Astyanax mexicanus: one gene and its partners. The main gene of each other region encodes a partner of the protein of the gene in region 2 in a complex. Links are inferred from orthologs where the notes say so. Each region holds a gene or a part of one and is shown on either strand. Other genes may lie near its edges.

Region 1 (7,134 bases), on a different chromosome or scaffold from region 2:
GAATGTAAAATGGGGCTGTTCAATGACCATTAATTTTTTTTTTTTTTTAGCATATTGTATATATCCTGACCAGCTGCAGGTTATATTCAAAGAGTGTATTTAGTCCTATTTCAATGAATGAAGTGCAGAAAATACAGAATAAAAATCACTGTACTACATATAAAGTTTTACCAGCATGGCACTTATCAAACTCTACTGTGATATGGCTAATTTGTGTGTCAAAATAATGAGATAAACATTGTGTACGATCAAAATGTATATTTACATTTATATTTTATACTACAACAACTGAGCCTGAAAGCCAGCACTAGTCCTGCAACCCATAACTTAGCATACTTACATACTTGTACACAAACAAAGTAAATGTTCATTTTAAAATGCCCTTCTGATAGGAAAGCTTACTTCTCATCCTCATTTACTTTTTTCATTGAATAATGTAATTAATGTTTTCCAATTGCTTACATTGGCATAATGATATATTAATGACTGACTCTATATAAACTGACTAATTTTTCTGAGGTACAGGCCACAGGTGCTTTATTTTGTGATGGCATTTAAAACTTATGTCTGACACACCAATGCCCAAATTAGAAAAAAAGAAAATAACTGCTACATTCATAGAATAGTAATACAAATCTCAACAAGAGTTTTTATTCATGCATTCGAGATAGCAAAAATATCTTTGCTTCTGTATAAATTAACTACTACTTCCATGCAACATATATATCCTAAATGTGGACTAAAGGAGAGTAGGACAGATGTCAGGTGATCTAAATCTGAAGAAAAATACTTACTGTACATTCCTGCATCTCCTGCTCCTTAGTGGCCAGCCTCATCACCAGAATGTTCTCTCTGCGTGCAGACTCCTGTTGTTGCTGCTTTAGCTTCTCCTCAGACTCTTTCAAACCAGTCACATCATTGGCTGTGGATAAAGCATACCATTCAAATGCTCGCACAAACAATGCAATAAATCAAGAAAATAAATCAGAGTGCATGTGCGGAGACTTACAATTTAAATCAGCATATTTTGCCTCCAGCACCTGGACATAGGCTTCATGCTGTTTCCACCTAAGATGGAAAGTAAAATGTTTTTGCATTATTTAAAGAAAAGAACCGTAATTAAAATATTTATTAAAAAGAAAACTTATCCTTACCGTGTACACAGCTCCTCTCTGGTCAGGGTCTTCATGTCTGATTCATTAAGGCGAACCTGAAATACCAGAAATAGAAGCATTAATAAACTGACATAGCAGAGATTTCCTCATCATATTTCACAGCCAGTTAAGATCACTGTGCCAATGCGCTCACCTTCTTGGGAAGAGGTTCTTCATTAGTCATCTTGATCTCTGCAAAATGACAAAAATAAACAAATATAAGACGTACTGTTTTACTTCAGAAGAAAAACAACAGATTCACAACATACAGCTCTGGTTGCTCCAATACCATAAAATGGCCACATTAGAAATAAAGTGCGAGATCACACACTTTACTAGAAGACGTTTTTGTAGGAGGTTCATTTTATAACCTATTTCACTTCCACTGTAATTGGTGCAAAGGTTAGGCTGGCTAGATGGACTAAAGCACACAAGCAATATAATAGCCAAGTTATACCTACAGCACCATTTAAACAGAGAAACAGAAACTCTGAACAAAAATAAATCAACACCAGACAGTCAGTGTAACTAATATCATTTAAATTTGGGGCTAAACTCGAAAATATAAAACTGTATTCATTTTTAAAATTTTCCCATTTAGTAGCTATAATGAGAAAGAAGTGTTTTTTTATTTTACCAATTTTCTGTTAGTCAATTCTGTGTTTTGCAAACAGAATTTCAGGAAAAATCCATTTTAAAAATGACTTTATATTGTTTTGATTTTAGAATTCTTACCATATAATTCAACTTTTGTTACAATACACAAAAAAGGACAAATCTGAAAATCTAGAAAATAATTTTCCTGAAATTCTTATTTTGTGCTGCAGAAATGAGTTGTTGGAGTGAAAAAATATTTTAAAAAATAGAAGAAATAAAGACAAACATTTCTTCTTCATTACAACAAACTGAGAAAATAATAATAGCTAAGTAAGTTAATGAAGTTTCACACAACAATCGTAGTGTATTGTTGAATTTATCCTCTATAACGGTCAGAATATGGAACTCAAACGTTAACGTTACACTGACTCAGCCTCGCCGTGCTTTGGGTACAAGCAAAATGGACCACAGTTTAGATAGTTGCGCTCTGCGCACAGAGCGGTAAAAGCCTGTAACGTCATTAGCAGGGACATGTATAAACGGAGACTGTTTTAAGAGCTGGCTAGTTAGCTAGCGTTTCGTTCTGCTCCTCTACGTAATCTAGCCTAGCCTAGCCTGAACATGTTATACACTACAGCCCCTCGCACGTTTGTTGGACTGCGTTGGTTAGCATTTGTGGACCATACGAGTTCGTAACTAACCTAGAGTGTCTCAGTAAAAACCTCTCATTACTGTCCGCCAGAAATCCGTGTCCTTAAACCCCTAACCGAGGCCTGTTGGCTGTTTATTCTCGGTAATGTAGTTAAGCTAGTTAGCCCGTTAGCCAGCGTGAACAGCTAATACCGAGCTAGCAGGGCTGGCGCTGCTGCGTTAACCGCGTTAAAATCAGCGGAGCCCAGCGGAGCAGAACGGCGGGTCAGACACACACCTCCAGTCCCCGAACTATTTAGACGGAATTCCCCACGAACCACTGAACTACACCCGAGCAGAATCCCGAGACCAGCGCGGCGTTTAGACTAGTACCTGCCGGCTCCGTGTGTTATCAGTTTCTTGTCACAAAATGGCGGAAAAGGAAGAGACTCTCCCTCCGACCAACAGCGCAGCTCTCAGAACTTGTTTACCAGAAACGAGCCAGAAAAAGACACCCGAGATACTTACAAGCCCTGCTTTACTCAGACCAAGATGACCCAATCTGCTTCTAGCGCGCTACTAACGAGCAACCCGTCCCTCTAATAGCGTATTTCAATCTTAAAACGACCCGAGCCTGAGCTTAACGCGAGCTCCGCGTAGCCGCCATCACCGCGAGGACGATGGATGTTCCGCCGCAGAGGCTGAAGGGGCGGGGCGGCTTACATGATGTGTGTTGCAGCCTGTTAACCAGTTCAGCGACTGTTCAAAACAAGACCCCGCTCAGGAGAGACTGGATTAATAAATGATGAAGGTGTAATATTCACGCTGAATTCAGGAATAGATATATTTCACGGAAAGTATATGATATGTAATGTATTTTTTTTTATTCTTAAAATAATATACCTTATAGAAGCTCACTGAAGTCATAATCCTCATATTAGCGATATCTTGTTATAAGGGGTATAACTGTTACAGTTTTAGGACTGTTACACTGACCGTATCAGGAGCTGTAACTCCAGCTAATGAAGCATGTAGCTGCCTCCCTGTTGCAAATTACGAATTGAAAAAGGAATTCTCCTTTCTCTCTGGCAATTAGTAAATAGCTGCTTTCTAACAAAGGTAAAGACATTTATTTTATCCATGTTATGTCCTGCTCAAAAATTTTAAAATGTACGTTTCATGAAAATGTTCTTTTTGCCACAGTTTCCACAGCTTTGGAAACTGTCGCTCACCTATTTTGTACCTGCACTCCCTTTTGGCAGGATATCTCTTTAATGTTATTTCCTTCCCACATTTATTGCTAGAAAAAATATGATGGTCTTGTTAATACACCATGATACTAACCTGAAGTAAAATAAATCAGGTTATGAAATTGATGCCCTAATGGGAATAGTTTATACAGTATAAACAACTGTTAAAGCCATGTCATCAGCTCCAAACTTTAGAGTATTCTGCAACAACCTCATATTTATTTATGATTCTTTGTTGTTTATACAATAAACCCAAAAAATAAAGACATAGCTTCTGTTAAAGGAAATTATTAAATAACTATTATTTTTTTTGTATTGATAACTGTGTAGTGTGTGGCTTATCCAGTATCTTACACAAGTGAGTGCACTCCTCATATATTTGTAAATATTTAATCTTTTCATGGAAGAACACTAAAGATATGACACTTTGATTCAATGTAAAGTAATCAGTGTACAGCTTATATATATATATATTTTGCTATTTCCTCAAAATATCTGGCAACAAAACCAAGTACACCACTGTGAAAATGTCCAGATTGTGCCCAAAGGGTAAATATTTTGTGTGGCCACCATTATTTTCCAGCACTGCCTTAACCCTCTTGGGCATGGAGTTCACTAGAGCTTTACAGGTTGCCAATCCTCTTCCACTCCATCATGACAGCATCATGGAGCTAGTGGCTGTTAGAGACCTTGCGCTCCTCCACCTTCCTCAATTGGGTGTAGGTCTAAAGACATACTTGTCCAGGCCATCACCTTTATCCTCAGGTTCCTCAGCAAAGCATTTCTCATCTTGGAGATATGTTTGGGGTCGTTATCATGATGGAAAACTGCCATGCGGCCCAGTTTCGGAAGGGAGGAGAACTCTTACTCTTACTTATTCAAGCTCTGCAGCAATGCTGGCACTACTCATGCATCTATGGTTAAAGCAAGCCTGTGGATGTTACGCTGAACATGTGGACTCAACTTCTTTGGTCAACCCTGGGGAGGCAGCTCTGAACAGAACCTGTCCTAAAAACTGCTGTATGACAATGGCCCTCAGTTTTAGGGTGTCACCAAACTTCTTATAGCCTAAGCCATCTCTGCGGAGAGCAACAATTATATTTTTTTTACATCCTCAGAGGGTTTTCTTGCCATGAAGTGCCAATATGAGAGAATTGTACTCAAAACATTAAATTTAGCTTGCTCCCCATTTACACCTGAGACCTTGTAAAACTAACAAGTCACATGACACTGGGGAGAAAGAAGGGGTAATTAGGCACAATTTTCAAAAGTGTACTTACTTTAGTTGCCAGCGGTGTAGAGATTAATGACCACTTTACGTTGTGTCATATGTTCAGTGTTGTCCTATTAAAATAAAATATTTACAAAAAGGTGAAGGGTGTACTCATTTTTGTGACATGTATGTACACCTTAAATACAATTGTTTTTTTTCACAGCTCAATTAGCTAATATTAGCTGATTTTAATACACTGTTTTAAAACTTAAAACTTTAAAAGGGCTTATAAAAGCATGAACGACTGAAATCATTATACACACCCACAAACACACACACACACACACACACACACACACACACACACACACACACACACACACTTCATGTAGTGATACAGCAGGTATCTCTACCAGCACTGGAAAAAACTAAGCATGCAACACAACAAGGCCAGGCAGCGAAGAGGTGCGGATTAATCTAATCATTTTTAGGGGTGGGACAGATTTCTCAGCTCTTATATTAAAGCGTTTATATACCTTTATGAACAGATCGACACATATTGTGTTTACTTTACGGTTTTAAATCGTTATGTTACTATTTTTAACATTTTAATTGACGTGGTATGTGTAGAGAGAAACATTTAAACATATGTGTTACCTACAGACGGAGTAATGGTTCAGTCCTACTGGAGTTCAAGTTGAAATTTCAAGGGCAGGTTAGAATGGAGTGAGTGAGAGGGGGAGTCGCAGCTGCTCAGAGCTCACTGTCAGAGACACCGCTGTAGAGAGAATAAGAACATGTTTGGCAGAGTTGGACATGTTCGCAGGTAACGACACAGATTTAGACTGGAGTCTGTGGAAATGTTGAGGATTCTCGGCGTTTTTAAACACAGAAGCTGTGTGAGCTGTTAGCCTAGCAAACAGCGCTTTATAGAGTAGAGTGAGCTGACAGCGTTAGCGGTAACACATGACCTGCAGTCAGACAGACAGCTAACTGCTAAGTTACAGCACAGCAGCACTCTGTTCATTTTACAGCTCTATTTATCTGCAGTTATAATTATAAAACACATAATTTCACTACCACTTTTAGCACTTAGCTTGTCCCCTAACAGCTAGCTAGGCTAGCTTAGTCTCCTCATATGTTTGTTAGCCGTTTCTGGCAGTGGTAGCAGGGATAGCTATTTTAGCAGCTTATGTAATTAAAGCTCAACGTCAAAATGTTTAGCTAAGCCAAATTAGCTAACTAGCTAACCTAACTAACTTAGACCTTAAATGAATAACTAGCAAAAGTGAGCGTTATCCCATGAGAGTTCACACAAGTTTATGAATAAGTTACTGATAACTAGGTTACAAAATCCAAAATTTAAACAGGTAAGTTCAATAAGCAGCTCCTATTTTTTTAGCTAGGTTAGTTGAGTCCAGACAGTTTTAGCTACAAAGTTCATTGTACTTGAGTTTGTCTAACACATTTCACCTCTGTCTCCTTCTGTTTTTAGGTGCACAGCCACCTTAAACCCTTTGTTGGGTGCCTTGGCCTCAAGACTAAAGCACACACTTCCAGACCTCCCTTATGATTATGGGGCACTTGAGCCCCACGTCTGTGCTGAGATCATGCAACTTCACCACAGCAAGCACCATGCAACATACGTCAACAATCTCAACGTTACTGAAGAGAAATACCAAGAGGCCCTGGCCAAAGGTGAATCAAAGTTTATCCAGTTACAATAAAGTGTTCAGGCTTCAGCCACCAGCAAATGGATGAAGTATTTACTGTATTGTGTAAGACCTGGGCTCATATTCACAAAGCCTCTTGAAGTAGAAGCATTGCTCAAGGATCAAAAACGTGATAAGCTTATACTATGAGAAGCTTTATGAATTAAAGTACATACAAATTTGGTCATTCCTAATTAAAGTACTTTGTTTCTTCTTTTTTTTTTTGGTTTGCTCTTTTTATGAACGGTGGGGTTTTGTAGGTGATGTGACAACACAAGTGGCACTTCAGTCAGCTCTGCGGTTTAATGGTGGTGGTCACATCAACCACACCATTTTTTGGACAAACCTGTCCCCAAATGGAGGAGGAGAGCCACAGGGTGAGAGATGCAGTACATTTTATTTTTCTCTTAATTTTCAGCATTCGCATCATGTTTGTTGCAAACCATTAATTTATGTCATCTTCACAAGCTGTCGTACACTAAAAGGTTTTAATAGTATGTCTTATATGAATATTACACATTATTTTACCCAGGTGAGCTTATGGAGGCCATTAAGCGTGACTTTGGCTCATTCCAGAA
Region 2 (7,919 bases):
AGCAGCTTACACATTCAAAATAGATAAAGCTTTGGAAAAAAAAATATTTATGAATTACACTATTACGTAGTTTATCAAAAGTCAGGAAAGTTTGTCAAATATAGAAAAATCAGATCAAATACCAGCAGGACCAGAACTGGGAAACACTGAAATTTACAGATTTTTGAGAAGACAGTGGTATTCTTTTAAGTTTGGACCTGTGTGTGTGTGTTTTAAACAGCACTGCACTATAAAAGGACTATTAAAGTGAATCTTTAACGACCACAATGACCAAGTGATCCTCCTCTATTTTGCCCAAAGTTTTAAGAGCAGTCTGAAGGTACTGTTGGGAGAACTCACAGGGGGGGAAGGCGTACAGCATGCCCCCCGTTTCACGTTCCTTGGGTCCTCCGATTGGCAGACTGATCACGCCAGCTGCCTGCTTGTTTCTGAGGTAGGTGACCAGGTTGCGCAGAAGGCGTTTCTGGATTCCAGGTTCCAGAGGAGGCGAGTCCTGGTCCATGGGGCCCTGGACGGCCAGGAGGACGGTGTAGCCGTCGGGGCTGCCCAGCTTGATGCGGCGGGTCACCTCATCCAGCTTGGGCTGGTCCAGTCGGAGTCGCTGGGCTATCTTGAGCTGTGTGATCTTGGCACTGCCCGCTTGGTTGTCTTTCATGAGGGAAAGGAAGAAGCTGGCCCCTCCTTCCAGGATGTGCATGTTGGTGGGGAAGCTGCTGTTTTTCAGCACCAGGGAGCCGTGCCACACTCTGCTGATGGTCTGGGCGTATTCTGAGAGCGTGCTGGGCTTTTTGGGCTCGCTCTTGAACTTTTTCACCTGCTGATCTAAGTCTGCATCACTTTTGCGGTGGTTCCGCTCATGTTCTCCTCCTTTACGATGCTTGTTTGAATCCTCCTGCAACAGCAACTGAGCTCGCTCGTCTCCGGACTGGCGGCTGCTGTCAGGTGTGTGGCTTTGGGGCTCTGAGGTGGAGTCAGGAAGGCGGCCACGTGCCCGGTCTGGACTGTCGTCTGGGGTTGCAGGGGCACCTGCTCTCACCCTGGTGCGCCCCCTGTCCTCATACAGCCTGTCACTTGGACTGATGCTGCGACTTCGGCTCCGACGCTTACGTCGTTCGTCCAAACCTTTGCGATCAGAGTCTCTGTCCTTGGTCCATCGCTCCCTGCTGCGACTGCGGGCTCGTCCCCGCCCAAAAGCTTCTGTGTTAGTTCTGCGTTCCACGCTTTTAGGAGGACTCCATTCACGTTCACGCTCTCGTTCCCTCTCTGCGAAAAGTGGGTGGGAGGGTGAACGAGCACGAGCCCTAAGTTCTCTCTCCAAGCTGCGGTGGCGGCTGTAACCTTCGCTAAGTGGCTCAAAAGGTGGCGGCAAAGGAAGAGGCAGCTGGTACTGCTGCGGGTATGCTCGTACTTCCTCAGCTTTGGCAAAGTCCACTCGTAGCCTGCGGTTTGGGCCACCCAGTGGGAATCCACGCATCTGGGCACATGCTGCTTGGGCTGCATCCAGGCTTTCATAGTGGATGTAGGCAAAATTGTCCCCCTTTACATAGTCAATGGTACGGATGCTCCCAAAGCGATCAAACTCTCTAGCCAAGGCGGCCAGAGACACATTCGGGCCTAAGCCGCCCACCCAAAGGCGTGTGGTGGGATTGGCCTTGCCGTATCCAATTTTCACCTGGTTGCCCCCGAACACTCGTCCCTGCATGGCTACCTTGGCCCTGTGAGCCATGTCCAGGTTCTGGAATTTAATAAAAGCATATGCACACCCTTGCCCACGCGCTGGCCGCTTTATCACCACCTCCTCGATGACGCCGTACTTCTCAAAGCCCTGCCTGAGCTCTGCTTCAGACACGTTGTGATCCAGGTTGCCGATGAACAAGTTCCGAGTCGCTCTCTGATCGTCCTCTGGTTTCAGGTCCTCCTCCACCTGCAGCTGCAACGCCAGTGCCCGGCTCCTCTCCTCCAAAGCGCTGTAGTAGTCCAGGAGGCGCTCCCTCTCCCTGGCGAGCCCAACGACACCCTCAGCATAGTGCCTGGCCCGGGTATCGCGGATGGCACTGCCACCTGGCCCTGGCGAGAGCGAGCGCTGCCTATAGAGGTAGGCAGGGTGTAGCAAGGGAGCGTAGGCCACATCAGGAGGCGTGCAGCTGCGGCGGCGGACGTACACAGGCTCGACCCGAAGTGCCCGGTCCCCCAGCACCAGGCGGGTCCTGGCGTGGCGTGCTTCCCGTGCGCTCTCTACTTGCCTGAAGTTCACATAGGCTACCCGTCCAAGCTCAGGTGTGTGGGAGAGCTTTACACTGACATCTCCGAACTTCTTGAACTTGTGGAAGAGCTCATCCTCTATGTGCTCATCTGACAGGTGGGAGCCTAGGTTGCTGACCAGCAGGGTTTTGTACTCGAGGCCACTGCTGCTGCTGCTACTGCTGCCACCGCCACTGCCACTACTGCTGCCACCACTGCCAGCCCCGCCCCCAGCCACCCGGCCACCGAGCATCTCGGCGCCTGCAGACCCTTTACCTTTCCCACCTGGTCTCAAGCCCGAGCGCGCGGAAAGGGCACCGGCGTCGTGGTGCAGCCGATGGTGCGCGCTGCTCTCTCCTCCGCGCGCCTCACGTTTTCCATAGCAACCGCTCCGAGTGTCCGCGAGCAGCAGCGCGAGCGGCGGCGACGGTAGGAGGGCACCGGGAGGCGCGGCGACCGCGGAGGCGATGATGGCATCCTCTCCTCGTCTGCCCTCGCGCTCGCGGTCTCGCTCCCGTTCGCGCTCTCTCTCGCGCTCCCGGATCCGTTTGGCGGCAGCTCGCGCCGGGCTCGTGTCCCGCTCGGCCTGCCGCTTCATCCTCCTCCCTGCAAACTTTTGGCGGCGGAGGAAAAAAAACCGGGGCGACACCAAACAGCTCCGGTCCACACCGCGCGCTCACGCCGCGCGAGCGATGGGCGTCACGCGCGTTCCGCCGGACGCGGAGAGAGATACGGGGACGGAGCTTCAGCGGGAAAACATCAAACAAACGCGCCGAAAACACCAGCATCACAGAAGCTGCACCCGCGCCGCCATCTTGGACAATGGGAGCGTGCGCGCGCGCCGCCGTTGGTAGGAGGAGCACAGACGCACGTGACTCGGACGTCACTGGGATACGTCCCAAATCGCATCCTCATAGCCTTAATAGTGTGCCTAAGCAGTGGCCTAGATGGCGATTCTCAGGGTTTAACGCATTATGAAGCACATGGTTCATTTGGTAGTTTACATTTATTATTAATTAGGAAACTTGCAAATAGATTAATTTATAACATAAATATTTAAAGCTTGTATTTTCTGAAAAATGTCCCATATCATATGACCTCTTTTGAATTGTGCAAATATTCTATATAAATACATATCTATAAACATGTTTATTCAGACTTTATATAATATATACACTTATTGACTAGTTTTCGACAAATAAAAATGCCATAAATCCATATATATTTTGAAGTTTTTCAATGTTATATGAATCCCTTTTCTTTTTTTAATGTTTTTTTTTTGTTTTGTTTTTATTTATTTATTTATTTTACATTGTACGTTTTTTTTATATTTTTGTAATTATGGTTGTTTGTTACCTAAGTATGGATTGTATGTTGTGCAAAAAAACAAAAAACAAACCAAAGCACGGGGTTAAATTGGTTAGTAGTTTAAATGTATGTATTATTAATGATGAAGTACGCAAACAAATACATGAATAAAATAAAAACATTTAAAGCTTTTGATTCCTGACCAGTATCACGTCAATTTATTTAAGTAAACTTTAAAATATACTAATTTAAATGAAATACAGTTGTGGTCAAAAGTTTACATACACTTGTAAAAAAACATAATGTTATGGCTGTCTTGAGTTTTCAATAAGTTCTACAACTCTTATTTTTCTGTGATAGAGTGATCGGAACACATACATGTTTGTCACAAAAAACAGTCATAAAATTTGGTTCTTTCATAAATTTATTATGGGTCTGCTGAAAATGTCACCAAATCTGCTGGGTCAAAAATATACATACAGCAACATTACTATTTGGTTACATGTCCCTTGGCCATTTTCACGGCAACTAGGCGCTTTTGGTAGCCATCCACAAGCTCCTGGCAAGCTTCAGGTCGAATGTTTGACCACTCTTCTTGACAGAATTGGTGCAGTTCAGCTAAATGTGATGGTTTTCTTGCATGAACCCGTTTCTTTAGCACTGTCCACATGTTCTCAATGGGGTTTAAGTCAGGACTTTGGGAAGGCCATTCTAAAACCTTAATTCTAGCCTGGTTTAGCCATTCCTTTACCACTTTTGATGTGTGTTTTGGGTCATTGTCTTGTTGGAACACCCAACTGCGCCCAAGACCCAACCTTCGGGCTGATGGTTTTAAGTTTTCCTGCAGAATTTGGAGGTAATCCTCCTTCTTCATTATCCCATTTACTTTCTGCAAAGAACCAGTTCCACTGGCAGCAAAACATCCCCAGAGCGTAATACTACCACCACCATGCTTGACAGTAGGCATGGTGTTCCTGGGATTAAAGGCCTCACCTTTTCTCCTCCAAACATATTGCTGGGTGTTGTGGCCAAACAGCTCAATTTTTGTTTCGTCTGACCAGAGAACTTTCCTCCAGAAGGTTTTATCTTTGTCCATGTGATCAGCAGCAAACTTCAGCCGAGTCTTAAGGTGCCTTTTCTGGAGCAAGGGCTTCTTTCTTGCACGGCAGCCTCTCAGTCCATGGCGATGTAAAACACGCTTGACTGTGGAGACTGACACCTGTGTTCCATCAGCTTCCAAATCCTTGCAGACCTGCTTCTTGGTGATTCTTGGTTGACTCTTGACCATCCTGACCAATCTCCTCTCGGCAGCATGTGATAGCTTGCGTTTTCTTCCTGATCGTGGCAGTGACACAACTGTTCCATGCACTTTATACTTGCGTATAATTGTCTGCACAGTTGCTCTTGGGACCTGTAGCTGCTTTGAAATGGCTCCAAGTGACTTCCCTGACTTGTTCAAGTCAATAATTCGCTTTTTCAGATCCACACTGAGTTCCTTTGACTTTCCCATTGTAGCTTTTGTAGCTGAGTCTAATCACTGGGTCAAATGAGCCCTATTTAAATGGGCTCATGAGAAGTCAACAGCTGTAGTCAATCAGAATCACTTACAAGAAGTGAAGAGGCCATGACATGAAGCTAATTTGATTGACACAACTCGCTACATCACCAAAATTGACAAATTTTGTTGCTGTATGTATATTTTTGACCCAGCAGATTTGGTGACATTTTCAGCAGACCCATAATAAATTTATGAAAGAACCAAATTTTATGACTGTTTTTTGTGACAAACATGTATGTGTTCCGATCACTCTATCACAGAAAAATAAGAGTTGTAGAACTTATTGAAAACTCAAGACAGCCATAACATTATGTTTTTTTACAAGTGTATGTAAACTTTTGACCACAACTGTAAATATAGACATCAAAAGTACGCATCCCAAATCGCACACTCGTAGCCTTAATAGTGTGCCTAAGTACAGGGCCTAGATGTCGATTTTCAGGATCTGATGTATTATAGGACATATGGTTAGTTAATATTGTTAATCTTATTAAATATGAAAATTATTGACACACATTTATGAAAAATTTAAAAACAAATATCAGCATTTGGCCATGTCCCCAAAAATGACTTCTGACTTAATTATTTGAGTACACTGTTAAAGTGCCAGTTTTAAAGGTAAATTTATGATATTTGGCATCCCACACTCATAGCCTAAATAGTGAGCCTACGTAGTGGCCTAGATGGTGATTCTTGTCATTTGATTCATTTAGAGGAATATATTAATGTGATGAGAGTTAGGGCTGCACAATATAGTGTTTTAGCATCAGTATTGCAATGTGCACAAGCATAATAGTCACCTTGCAGGAGAGGAAATGTCAAATATTGTCAGATCTGCACAATATTATTAATTATGCTTATGGATTGGCACCATCGTATATTACAGATTATATTATATTACAGATTTCAATTAATGTTGTTTTAATAATTGATTCATTTTTTATTTACTTATTTCAATACTTCATAGCTAAAACCTTTTTAATCTTATTTTACATTTGATTTTCTTTGCCCCTTTTGTAGTTTCAGTGAATTTCTAAATAACTTATTTTTTAGTACTCAATTTTTATATTTTCTTATTCTAGAGAGTGCAATACCAATATTGTGCAGCCCTAATATGTTCTATACTTGTACAATAAAACAAAATGACTTCTAATACACTAAAATAACTATATTCTTTCAATATCTTCCTTTCAAAGGGTATTGTTGGTGATCACCAAAATCCTGGAAGTGGGAACTACAGTGGATAGAGAGCACGTTACACAGGGGATCAGTCTCCAGGCTTCTTTCAGATTAAGGTATGTGTGGAAGTAGTCAGGGCATTTAAACCTTGCAAATATTAAAGCTTAAGCTTGTCATTTTATATAATAACTTCAAGGTTTCTATATAATTATCAATATTTGTTGCATCTCAAACTGTAAAAATCAAAAGCTAATGCTACACTTCTTTAGCCTATTAGTACATATTAAGTTTACACCACTTTAAACCGGTTCAAACACCTTATTTCAGAAAGAATCCAAACATTCAGGATCAAAACCAGAGCAGATAAAAACAGGAGCACACCACTAATATCTGCCGTTACACAAGAAACAAGAATTGGGTTCATTTTCTTTTTTTAATGAAAAAGTATAGTACAACTGTAATAAACATGTTTTACAGTGAAGTCCATTTGAATTGAACCACGTTTAGTAGATGGATCACCTTAATCATCCTCCTCAACTTCGGTCTGTTTTAATATAATAATAAATCAAATCATATAAAATAAAAAAGCCCTGTCCCTTTATCAAAAATAAAGAAACTACAGTGTTTTGTAATATCACCCCAAATCTATACACCATATCTCTGTATAAACATTCACTACACTGGTATGAATGCTGTATCAAAGTTAAGTGCACTAAAAATAAAAGGGAAAATAAAGTTTAAAGTGAGGCTGGATGTAAAGCGAGGCTTCGGCCCAAAGCTGAAACATACACAGGTCTGAACATTTTTATTTCTTTATTTTTTTTACTTTTTAGGCATGGGTCACCAATCCACCTTTTTCTTTAGATCTTTTGGTTTTTCGAGTTTTTAGCATTATCCGGATGGGATTAGTTAATATTCTATGTCTTTTATGGGGGGGTTTTATCCTCTGTGATTTTATTCCCATCCAGAACGATCATGTACGTGTTCTAAGATAAAAAATTACAGGCTGAATTATCTACTGTTTTTCTCTGAACTCCGTGCCCCTCCGGTAATTTTAGTCCCGTCCGGACACACATCTGAGTTTCGTCTCTTCGTGTTTAATGAAATAGCTATTTGTCCACTGTAGGGCACCGTAATTACACTTTGAACGCCCCACGGTTTCCACGCAGAACCGCGTTAAAAACACAACAGCGACAACTCACTGGTCCTCCTGTTTGTTTTTTCAATTGCAGTCCGGATGCAGGAGTTTTATCACTGAATAAAAGTGTGAAATATTTTTACAGACGCCCCCCTGAGAAACTAATCCCGTCCAGATAGAGCTTTTGCTTTAGTTGGATCTTATTGGTGTTTTCCACTGCGTAGTATTTTACCGACTCTACTTTTTGGTAACTGGTTTGTTTCTCAATACCATCATCACTACGCCATCTTCAGAGCAGAGAGACAGCACAGGAAGGTTTATACTACTAAATCAGGTCAATTTAGAGTCTACAATATAGCCTACACAAGTGGCTCATGCTATTGTGAGCATTTATACTTGTGCATTTGTGTTTCTGCCTCATTTTTCTCCCAAATTTTAGCTATGCAGAATATCCCACCCACTCAGCTGCACTCCTGCTATTGCTAACAATGCCCC
Region 3 (7,496 bases), on a different chromosome or scaffold from region 2:
TTCGTCCCTGACTCTAATTCATATAAGTTATATACCTGATTTGATCATTTTCCGTACAATCCCTGCTAAAGTTTTAGGTGAAGGAGACCTAAAGAAGGTCAGAGCATGTTTCTGGAAAAACAAAAAAGTGGGCGTGGCATTGCGATGGTTACCATCCATCAAGATGTTGGGTCATACATGACACTAGGCACAACCCTAGTGCTGATAACCAATCGGAGGCAATGCATTCATGAGCAAGAGCCGAAATCCTGTCCTTCTTCAGAGACCACTAATTCAGTGATCTAAAGCAGGGTTATACAGAAACACCAGAGACCACAACTAGACATTTTAAAATGAATGTAAAAACAATTGAATGAGACCTTTAAGGTGAATTCTTTTAAAAGTAAGTACTTTTACTGTTGTGGAGCGTTAAACCGAGGACTTATACATCTATTACTGGAGTAATGTTTTACCCTCTCTACATCTACTTCAACTCAAATACAGGGTTTGTGTACTTTTGTGTCTACTACTGCAGTAAACTGTAGGAATACCTGCAGGTCTCTCTGGACTCCTCGATCTCCTTTTGCTCCTCTTTGCTGTTGAGAACGGCGCCGATACTGTCGGCACTTTCTGCTCCGAGCTGCAAAACAACACAAACATCTTCCCTCAGCTCTCAGTGTAAAGCATAAGTGATGTAAAAATACAAAAACATCAGACTACTACTTTTTTTTGATTGATGATTTATGTGATTATTAATGGGTTTGACTGGTTAATTCAAAAGTGCCCAATCAGACTACTATTACATTAAACTGCATAGATATGTGTTAAAATAACAGCTATAGATAACGGCTAGATTAATATTAGGAGAAATTCAATTAATTACAAGCTCTGAATACTGTAAGTTATTAATATGAGAGGAAATAAAATAAAAAAACGAATAAAAACGAATCAGTTAAAAACATTTAAAAGTTAAAAACATTTAAAAGCATATTTTAAAAGCAAATCACTCCTTTAAAAATATTTTTTTCATTATAAATCCATAATATTTAAGTTAAAATACACATTTAGGTTGTGTCCCTGGGTTTCACTCAGTCCTGTTAGCTTAACAAATTACCCCATCAAAATCACTAGAATGTGCTTAGTGTCCTCATGCTATTAGCACAGCATAATTCTATGCTAAAAACTCAGTCCTGTCACTTTAATTCCCGTTACTCAAAACATAAAAAGTAACAGGAGTGAGTGGCATTAACAGGAATGAGTTCCAGTAACAGGAATCAGTGCCATTAACTTGTTAATGATTTTTGGTCATAAATATCACTTATTTGAACATACAGTCGAACATTTCTTTAAAATAAAGACTTTCTTGAAAGAAACACAAAGTTGCATTTGAACATGCTTTTTAAATGTCACACGAGTTTTGTAAACATCTTCGGCTTAGAAACCTTGTAAAAAAGTAGTAAGGTAAAGCTGCCTGCACTTGACAATTACATGTTTTGAATAGTTAAATACATGTGATATTAAAAAAATTAAAAAGTTTAATTTGGAAAAGTTACAACAATCAATAGCACCCGTTCTGTGGAATGGCCCAATTAGTACAGTGCTTATATCTCTTTTCTGAAAGAGAATTTATTAGTAAAAACTGTAGGTTATTATATGGATCTGTAAGGGTGCTGTGTCTGTACTGTGACTAATCTAAGCCTGTATCTCTGACTGTGTTTTTCTCTGTTTTCTCTCTATCTCTGAGTGTTTTTTTCTCTCTGTTTATGACTTAGTTTTCCTCTCTGTTTGAGTGTCTCTCTCTCTCTGAATCTCTCTGTACCTCTGAGTGTTTTTTTCTCTCTCTCTCTGTATCTGACTGTTTTTCTCTCTGTGTTTCTGACTGTTATTCTCTCTCTCTCACTGTAAATTTCTCTAAGTGTTCTCTCTCTGCAAATCTCTCGCTATCTCTGAGTGTTTTTTTTTTCTCTCTGTTTATGACTGTTTTCCTCTCTGTGTTTCTGAGTCTCTCTCTGTGAATCTCTCTGTACCTCTGAGTGTGTTTTTCTCTCTCTCTGTATCTGTATGTATTTCTGTGTGTTTCTGACTGTTTCTCTCTCTCTGTTTCTGAGTGTGTTTTCTCTCTCTCTTTCTGTATCTCTGACTGTGTTTTTCTCTATCTCACTGTAAGTTTCTCTATCTCTGAGTGTTTTTTCTCTCTCTGTTTGTGAGTTTCTCTCTAAATATTTCTGTACCTCTGAGTGTGTTTATTTTCTCTCTCTCTGTACCTAACAGTATTTCTCTGTGTGTGTTTCTGACTGTGCTTCTCTCTCTCTCTGTTTCTGAGTGTTTCTCTCTCTCTTTCTCTCTGTATCTCTTACTGTGTTTTTCTCTCTGTGTTTCTGACTGTATTTCTCTCTCTCTCTCTCACTGTAAGTTTCTCTATCTCTAAGTGTTTTTCTCTCTCTCTCTATCTCTCTCTGTATCTGTTTTTCTCTCTCTGTGTTTCTAAGTGTGTTTTTCTCTCAGTGTGTTTTAGTGTTTTTCTGTGTGTTTATCTCTGCCTGTTTCTGACTGTTTTTCTCTCTATTTAAGCGTGATTTCTGTGTTTCTCTCTCTCTGTAAATTTATCTGAATTAGTTTTCTCTCTCTCTCTGTATCTGTTTTCCTCTCTGTGAGTTTAAGCATGTTTTTCCTGTGTGTGTTTCTGTCTCTCTCACTCAGTTTCTTGAGTGTGTTTTTCTGTGTTTCCCTTTCTATCTCTCCCTCTCTCTCTGTTTCTCTCTTTCTGAATGTGTTTTCTCTGTTTCTGAATGTGTTTTTCTCTGTTTCTGAATGTGTTTTCTCTCTCTCTCTGTGTGTGGTTTCTCTGTTTCTGAGAGTGTTTTACTCTCTCTCTCTTTGTTTTTTTTTTTACCTGCTGGGCTAACAGCTGTCTCCTGAGCTTCTGCCGCTCCCGGATCTCCTGCAGTCTGCTGTTCATCTCTGATCTGAATCAGAGTCTGACCACTTTACTCAGAATTATAATAAATACACGGGTTTTTAAAGCGATGCAGAGAGAAACCCGCGCGCACACAGACACATTCAAACACAGCCCGGCCGGCGCAGGAGATACGCGTCACACAGTGTCACCGCGCGAGAGACAGAGCGCGAGACAGAGCGAGAGAGCGGGAAGACCGACCAATCCTGAGCTCTAAACCACCGCGTGCCGCTAGAGGGAGCCCGCGAGGGAGACCTGAGTGAATGGAGGTGAATAGAGGTAAACCATTAAAAACACACATTAAAAACAATTATTAACTAAAGTCTGTGTAACGTTTATTCATTTATTTTTTTATTATTTCATAATTTTCTTTTAGGTTAAATGCAACATTTGAAAATTGCATGTAAAAACTTGATTATTATTATTATTTTTTTATTTTAAAGTGGACATGAAACATTTCAGTTCGTACAAGTTTTCCAAGGGATTAAATATAATGGAATTTATTTGGGAGGGGATTTTTTTATCTAAAATGTTTACACACTAAATTGTAACATATATATGTTTGTTACGTTTGCGCTAGTGCGCCACCATTTTGCCCGTGCAGCACTGGTTACATCACGAGGTTGGTTGGTTGATGAGCCCAGGTACATAGCTAGCGGTCACGGTTTAGGAAAAGAGCTGGTAGCTCACCTGGAAGGAGTGGAGATGGAAGGAAGAAGGGAGTGAGTTGGAAATGTTTGGGATAAAGAGCGGGTCGTGGGATGGTGGAGGAGCGTGGCAAACTGCTGGAATTAAGAAAGGTAGGAGATTATCTGATCATGAGAGAGAGTCAGGAGCTTCCTACGCATGTCAAGTGTAGGAAGGAGGAGCATGTAGCACAGTATACAGTTCTTCTTAAGTTTGGAACTGAATCTGGGACTCCATTAAATCCAATAAGATTAAAGAGTGAGCTTAGGAAAGCTGTGGGTGATCTGGCTGCAGCAAAGATCTTGAGAGATGGCAGACAAATCAAGTCTCCCTGAAGCTGCGGGAATCTCCCGCATTTCGGTAGTGGCTCCCTGATGCCCGCGAGTCACGGAATTCAGAACGAGTGCCCCAAACGCGCACACAGGTGACTTTTTTTCTCTAATCGCGTGTGGGAAGGAGAGAGAGAAAACAGAGAGGGTTCTGATTGGCCTGTTCTCTGCAAAGAGTCTGTTCGGTGGTAGGGTAACCTGCCTGAAATCAACTTTTGCAACTTGGGATGTCTGAGATGGTAAGGTATTGATTACCTGTAAAGATGCACGACAGCGTGATAAAGCATTAAAACTTACAAGCCTGGGTGGAAAATCGCTATCTGCAAGCTTGTTCAGAGAGGCAGTAAGGCTGAAGGGAGTGATAACTGGGGTCCCCCTTGATATTACAATGGATCAAATCAAGAAGTCGCTAGTGTGCTAGAGGCTGTACGACTGAAAGTGTTCAGGGATGGGACAGCCTAAAGCTAATTGGAAGAATTTTTCTGTGATTTGTGATGATAGGCTCAAACAGCAGGTTAATTCTGATGATGTTGATGAGTATATTAACAAGTTGTGTATGATTTTGTAAAGATCTGCGGAAGAGTCAGTTCCTTTAAAAAGCAGCCCACAGGGAGGAAAGCTGTTCCTTGGTGGACAGAACAGTGCTCTAAGGCAGTGAAGCTCCGCAATGCAGCTCTAAGACAGGTTCAGAGGTCGCTGTTATTTTGCGATCTGGTGACTTATAGAAAGGCTCAAGCAGAGGTAAGGAGAACTGTTAAAGGGGCGAAATGGTCCTATTGGAGAACGTTCTGTAGCACCATTGGATATGATGTTTCAGTATGTGATTTATGGCACATCATTAAGAAAATAAGGGGAATAAGAAGAGAGAATAATATGCCGGTATTGCAAAGCTGCGTTACTGAGGCAGTGACCGATGCTGATAAGGCAGAGATGTTAGCGCAGGAGTTTGCAAAGATCCATAGCTCGGCTAATTTAAGTGACACTATGCAACAGTTCCGGGAAAGTGTTCGTTCTCAATATCCTGGAGTTCTGTCTCGGAAAGAGGATTTTAGTGGTGTACTGGACACGGAGTTCACGCTACAGGAACTGAAGGTAGCAATTGCGAAATCTGGTCACACATAACCTGGGAAAGATTATGTGTGCTATGATATGTTTAAGCATTTATCAGATGCATCTCTTTTTGTAATTATAGAGTTTTATAATACATTGTAAGGCAGCATGGAAGTTGGCGGTGGTAGTACCTATAGGTAAGCCTGGTAAAGACTTATCTAGTCTAGCAGGATATAGGCCTATTTCACTCACGTCTCATGTAAGTAAGTGCATGGAGCGTATGTTAACAGACAGACTGACTTATTATCTTGAGGCACGAAATGGTTTTGTAAACTATCAGAGTGGCTTTAGACAAGGTAGGATGACAATGGGCCCAGTGTTGTGTCTGGAATCTGAGCTAAGAAAAGCGCAATTGTATAAAGAAGTAGTGATGGTTGTATTTTTAGATATAGAAAAGGCGTATGATATGTTATGGACTGAGGGCTTGCTTATTAAACTGGATAAGGTGGGGGTTGGAGGGAGGCTATATAACTGGATTTTGGAATTTTTCAGTAAAAGGATGTTGCAAGTGAGGGTGGGGCAAGCACAATCAGGAGTTTACTGCATAGAAAATGGGACTCCACAGGGTAGTGTATCTAGCCCTCTATTTTTTAATGTGATGATTAATGATATTTTCTTTTCGGTTGGCTCAGGTGTAGCCAAGTCACCTTATGCAGACAATGGGGCCTTGTGAAAAAGGGGTAGTAATCTCCTGTTTGTTTTAAAGAAGATGTTGAAGAAGATGCAAGAGGCATTGACCAAAGTAGAGCATTGGGCTAATAGCTGGGGCTTCCGATCATTGGCATCAAAATCGCAGGCTATCTGCTTTTCAAATCGTCGGACGCCAACTACCCTTGGTCTGAAGTTGTATGGTTTGGAAATAGAACAAGTCAAGGTGGTCAAGTTCTTAGGTATGTGGATGGATTCCAAGCTAACATGGAATATTCATATTAACAAGATACTAGATAAGTGTAAAAGGGCCCTTAATGTTATGAAGTGCTTGTCAGGATGTGACTGGGGGGCTAACCGACCTTCACTCCTTTATATCTATAGAGCATTGGTGCGGTCAGTTTTTGACTATGGTTGCATAGCATATAGATCTGCTGCCAAGACTAATCTGGCAATTTTGGACCGAGTTCAAGCTCAGGCGCTGCGTTTGTGTTGTGGAGCGGTGAAGTCTTCTGGGGAATTACCCTTACAGTTGCGTAGATTGGCATTATCCACAGTATATTGGACCTCTGTTACAGGCCATGAGGAAAATCAACCTGTGGTACCCATTACGCATGATTGTTTACATCAACATCATTGTACTCCTAGAAGTTTTGGCTGTGTGTGTGCTAGAGAGGCAGCAGAACTGGGTGTCTGGGGTACGGATCTGTGTGCTACAGTGCCTAGAGCAGTGATATCACCATGGATGTTTCCTGAACCTAATGATGACATAACGCTACATGAGCGTATGCGTGCTGTAGATCAGTGGTTCCCAACCTTTTTCTTCAGGGACACATATTTTTACCATTGTAAGCTTTGGTGACCCAACATACCCCCCCCCCCCCCCAAATGTAAAAGATGTAAGTGTATAATTGGGTTGGGGTGGGGGGGTGGGGGGGGGGGTTAGAAATGACAAATAAAAACTGACATTTACTATAGATGAATAAAATAAACACGTAAAAAAGGAAAAATTGATACATAAAACATAAGGAATTTTTATCTTATGAAGAAAAAAAATAATTAGATCAATAAAATAATACAACTCTTTAAAATGAATAAAAAATAATTTATATAAAATAAAAACAAACAACAAAAAAAAGAATAATATCAGTTTCAGTTTCAGTTTCAAATCAGTAAAACAGCTCACCAAAACCTCAACCTGTCCAAATATTGGACAATAATTGATTAACTTTACAGGCCCTCACTCATTTTCATTTATTTAACTAAACTGAGTTTTATATTCTTATATTATTATATTATTATATTCAGCCTCGCGCTGAATTCAGCTCCGCGCTGGGGCTGAGAGCGCCCGCGCGCGCCAGAGAGAGAGAGACAGAGAGAGCGCAGCGCGGCGAATTTTGCTTACCCTAGACTATATATAGTATTAAAATTAAACCCCTTAAAATCAAGAGGGCTTCGCGACCCATCGTGGATCTTTGGCGACCCATAGGTTGGGTCGCGACCCATAGGTTGGGAACCACTGCTGTAGATGACCAGTAGAGCACCTCTGGTATAGTTGGGAGGCACTTAAACCAGTCATACTATGGTATGCTACAAGTTTATACAGAAGGCTCTGAACATCCTTCTTCAGGGATGACATCAGCAGCCGTTTTTTTCCCTGAATTACACATTTTCAGTGGCAAAAGGCTAACCAATGATATATCTGTATTTATAACTGAACTAGTGGCTATCCTTCTGGCTTTGCATTGGGCCAAGGAGACATGTCCTTTGGGTTTGTTGGTATGTTC

What was found.
Region 1: rbm15b (region 2) and pre-mRNA-splicing regulator WTAP share a complex: the UniProt entries of both Homo sapiens proteins name them as parts of the WMM complex. The link is inferred for Astyanax mexicanus from reciprocal best matches to the Homo sapiens genes RBM15B and WTAP.
Region 3: rbm15b (region 2) and mettl14 share a complex: the UniProt entries of both Homo sapiens proteins name them as parts of the WMM complex. The link is inferred for Astyanax mexicanus from reciprocal best matches to the Homo sapiens genes RBM15B and METTL14.

The regions. Positions count from the first base shown.
Region 1 is NC_064408.1:74,744,000-74,751,133, reverse strand, and holds the start of pre-mRNA-splicing regulator WTAP, read right to left. Parts: upstream 3,096-7,134; 5' UTR 2,910-3,095; intron 2,831-2,909; exon of another isoform or gene 2,775-2,830; intron 2,699-2,774; exon of another isoform or gene 2,680-2,698; intron 1,347-2,679; 5' UTR 1,339-1,346; coding exon 1,309-1,338; intron 1,211-1,308; coding exon 1,155-1,210; intron 1,069-1,154; coding exon 1,010-1,068; intron 923-1,009; coding exon 795-922; intron 1-794. Other genes in the region: sod2 (superoxide dismutase [Mn], mitochondrial), read left to right, coding at 5,642-5,670, 6,340-6,542, 6,817-6,933, 7,089-7,134. UniProt on the Homo sapiens protein: Associated component of the WMM complex, a complex that mediates N6-methyladenosine (m6A) methylation of RNAs, a modification that plays a role in the efficiency of mRNA splicing and RNA processing.
Region 2 is NC_064431.1:1,414,912-1,422,830, reverse strand, and holds the start of rbm15b (putative RNA-binding protein 15B), read right to left. Parts: upstream 3,087-7,919; 5' UTR 2,840-3,086; coding exon 242-2,839; 3' UTR 1-241. UniProt on the Homo sapiens protein: RNA-binding protein that acts as a key regulator of N6-methyladenosine (m6A) methylation of RNAs, thereby regulating different processes, such as alternative splicing of mRNAs and X chromosome inactivation mediated by Xist RNA.
Region 3 is NC_064432.1:11,010,708-11,018,203, forward strand, and holds the start of mettl14 (N6-adenosine-methyltransferase non-catalytic subunit), read right to left. Parts: upstream 3,082-7,496; 5' UTR 2,939-3,081; coding exon 2,873-2,938; intron 620-2,872; coding exon 531-619; intron 1-530. Other genes in the region: NLR family CARD domain-containing protein 3-like, read left to right, coding at 4,825-5,043, 6,288-6,407. UniProt on the Homo sapiens protein: The METTL3-METTL14 heterodimer forms a N6-methyltransferase complex that methylates adenosine residues at the N(6) position of some mRNAs and regulates the circadian clock, differentiation of embryonic stem cells and cortical neurogenesis.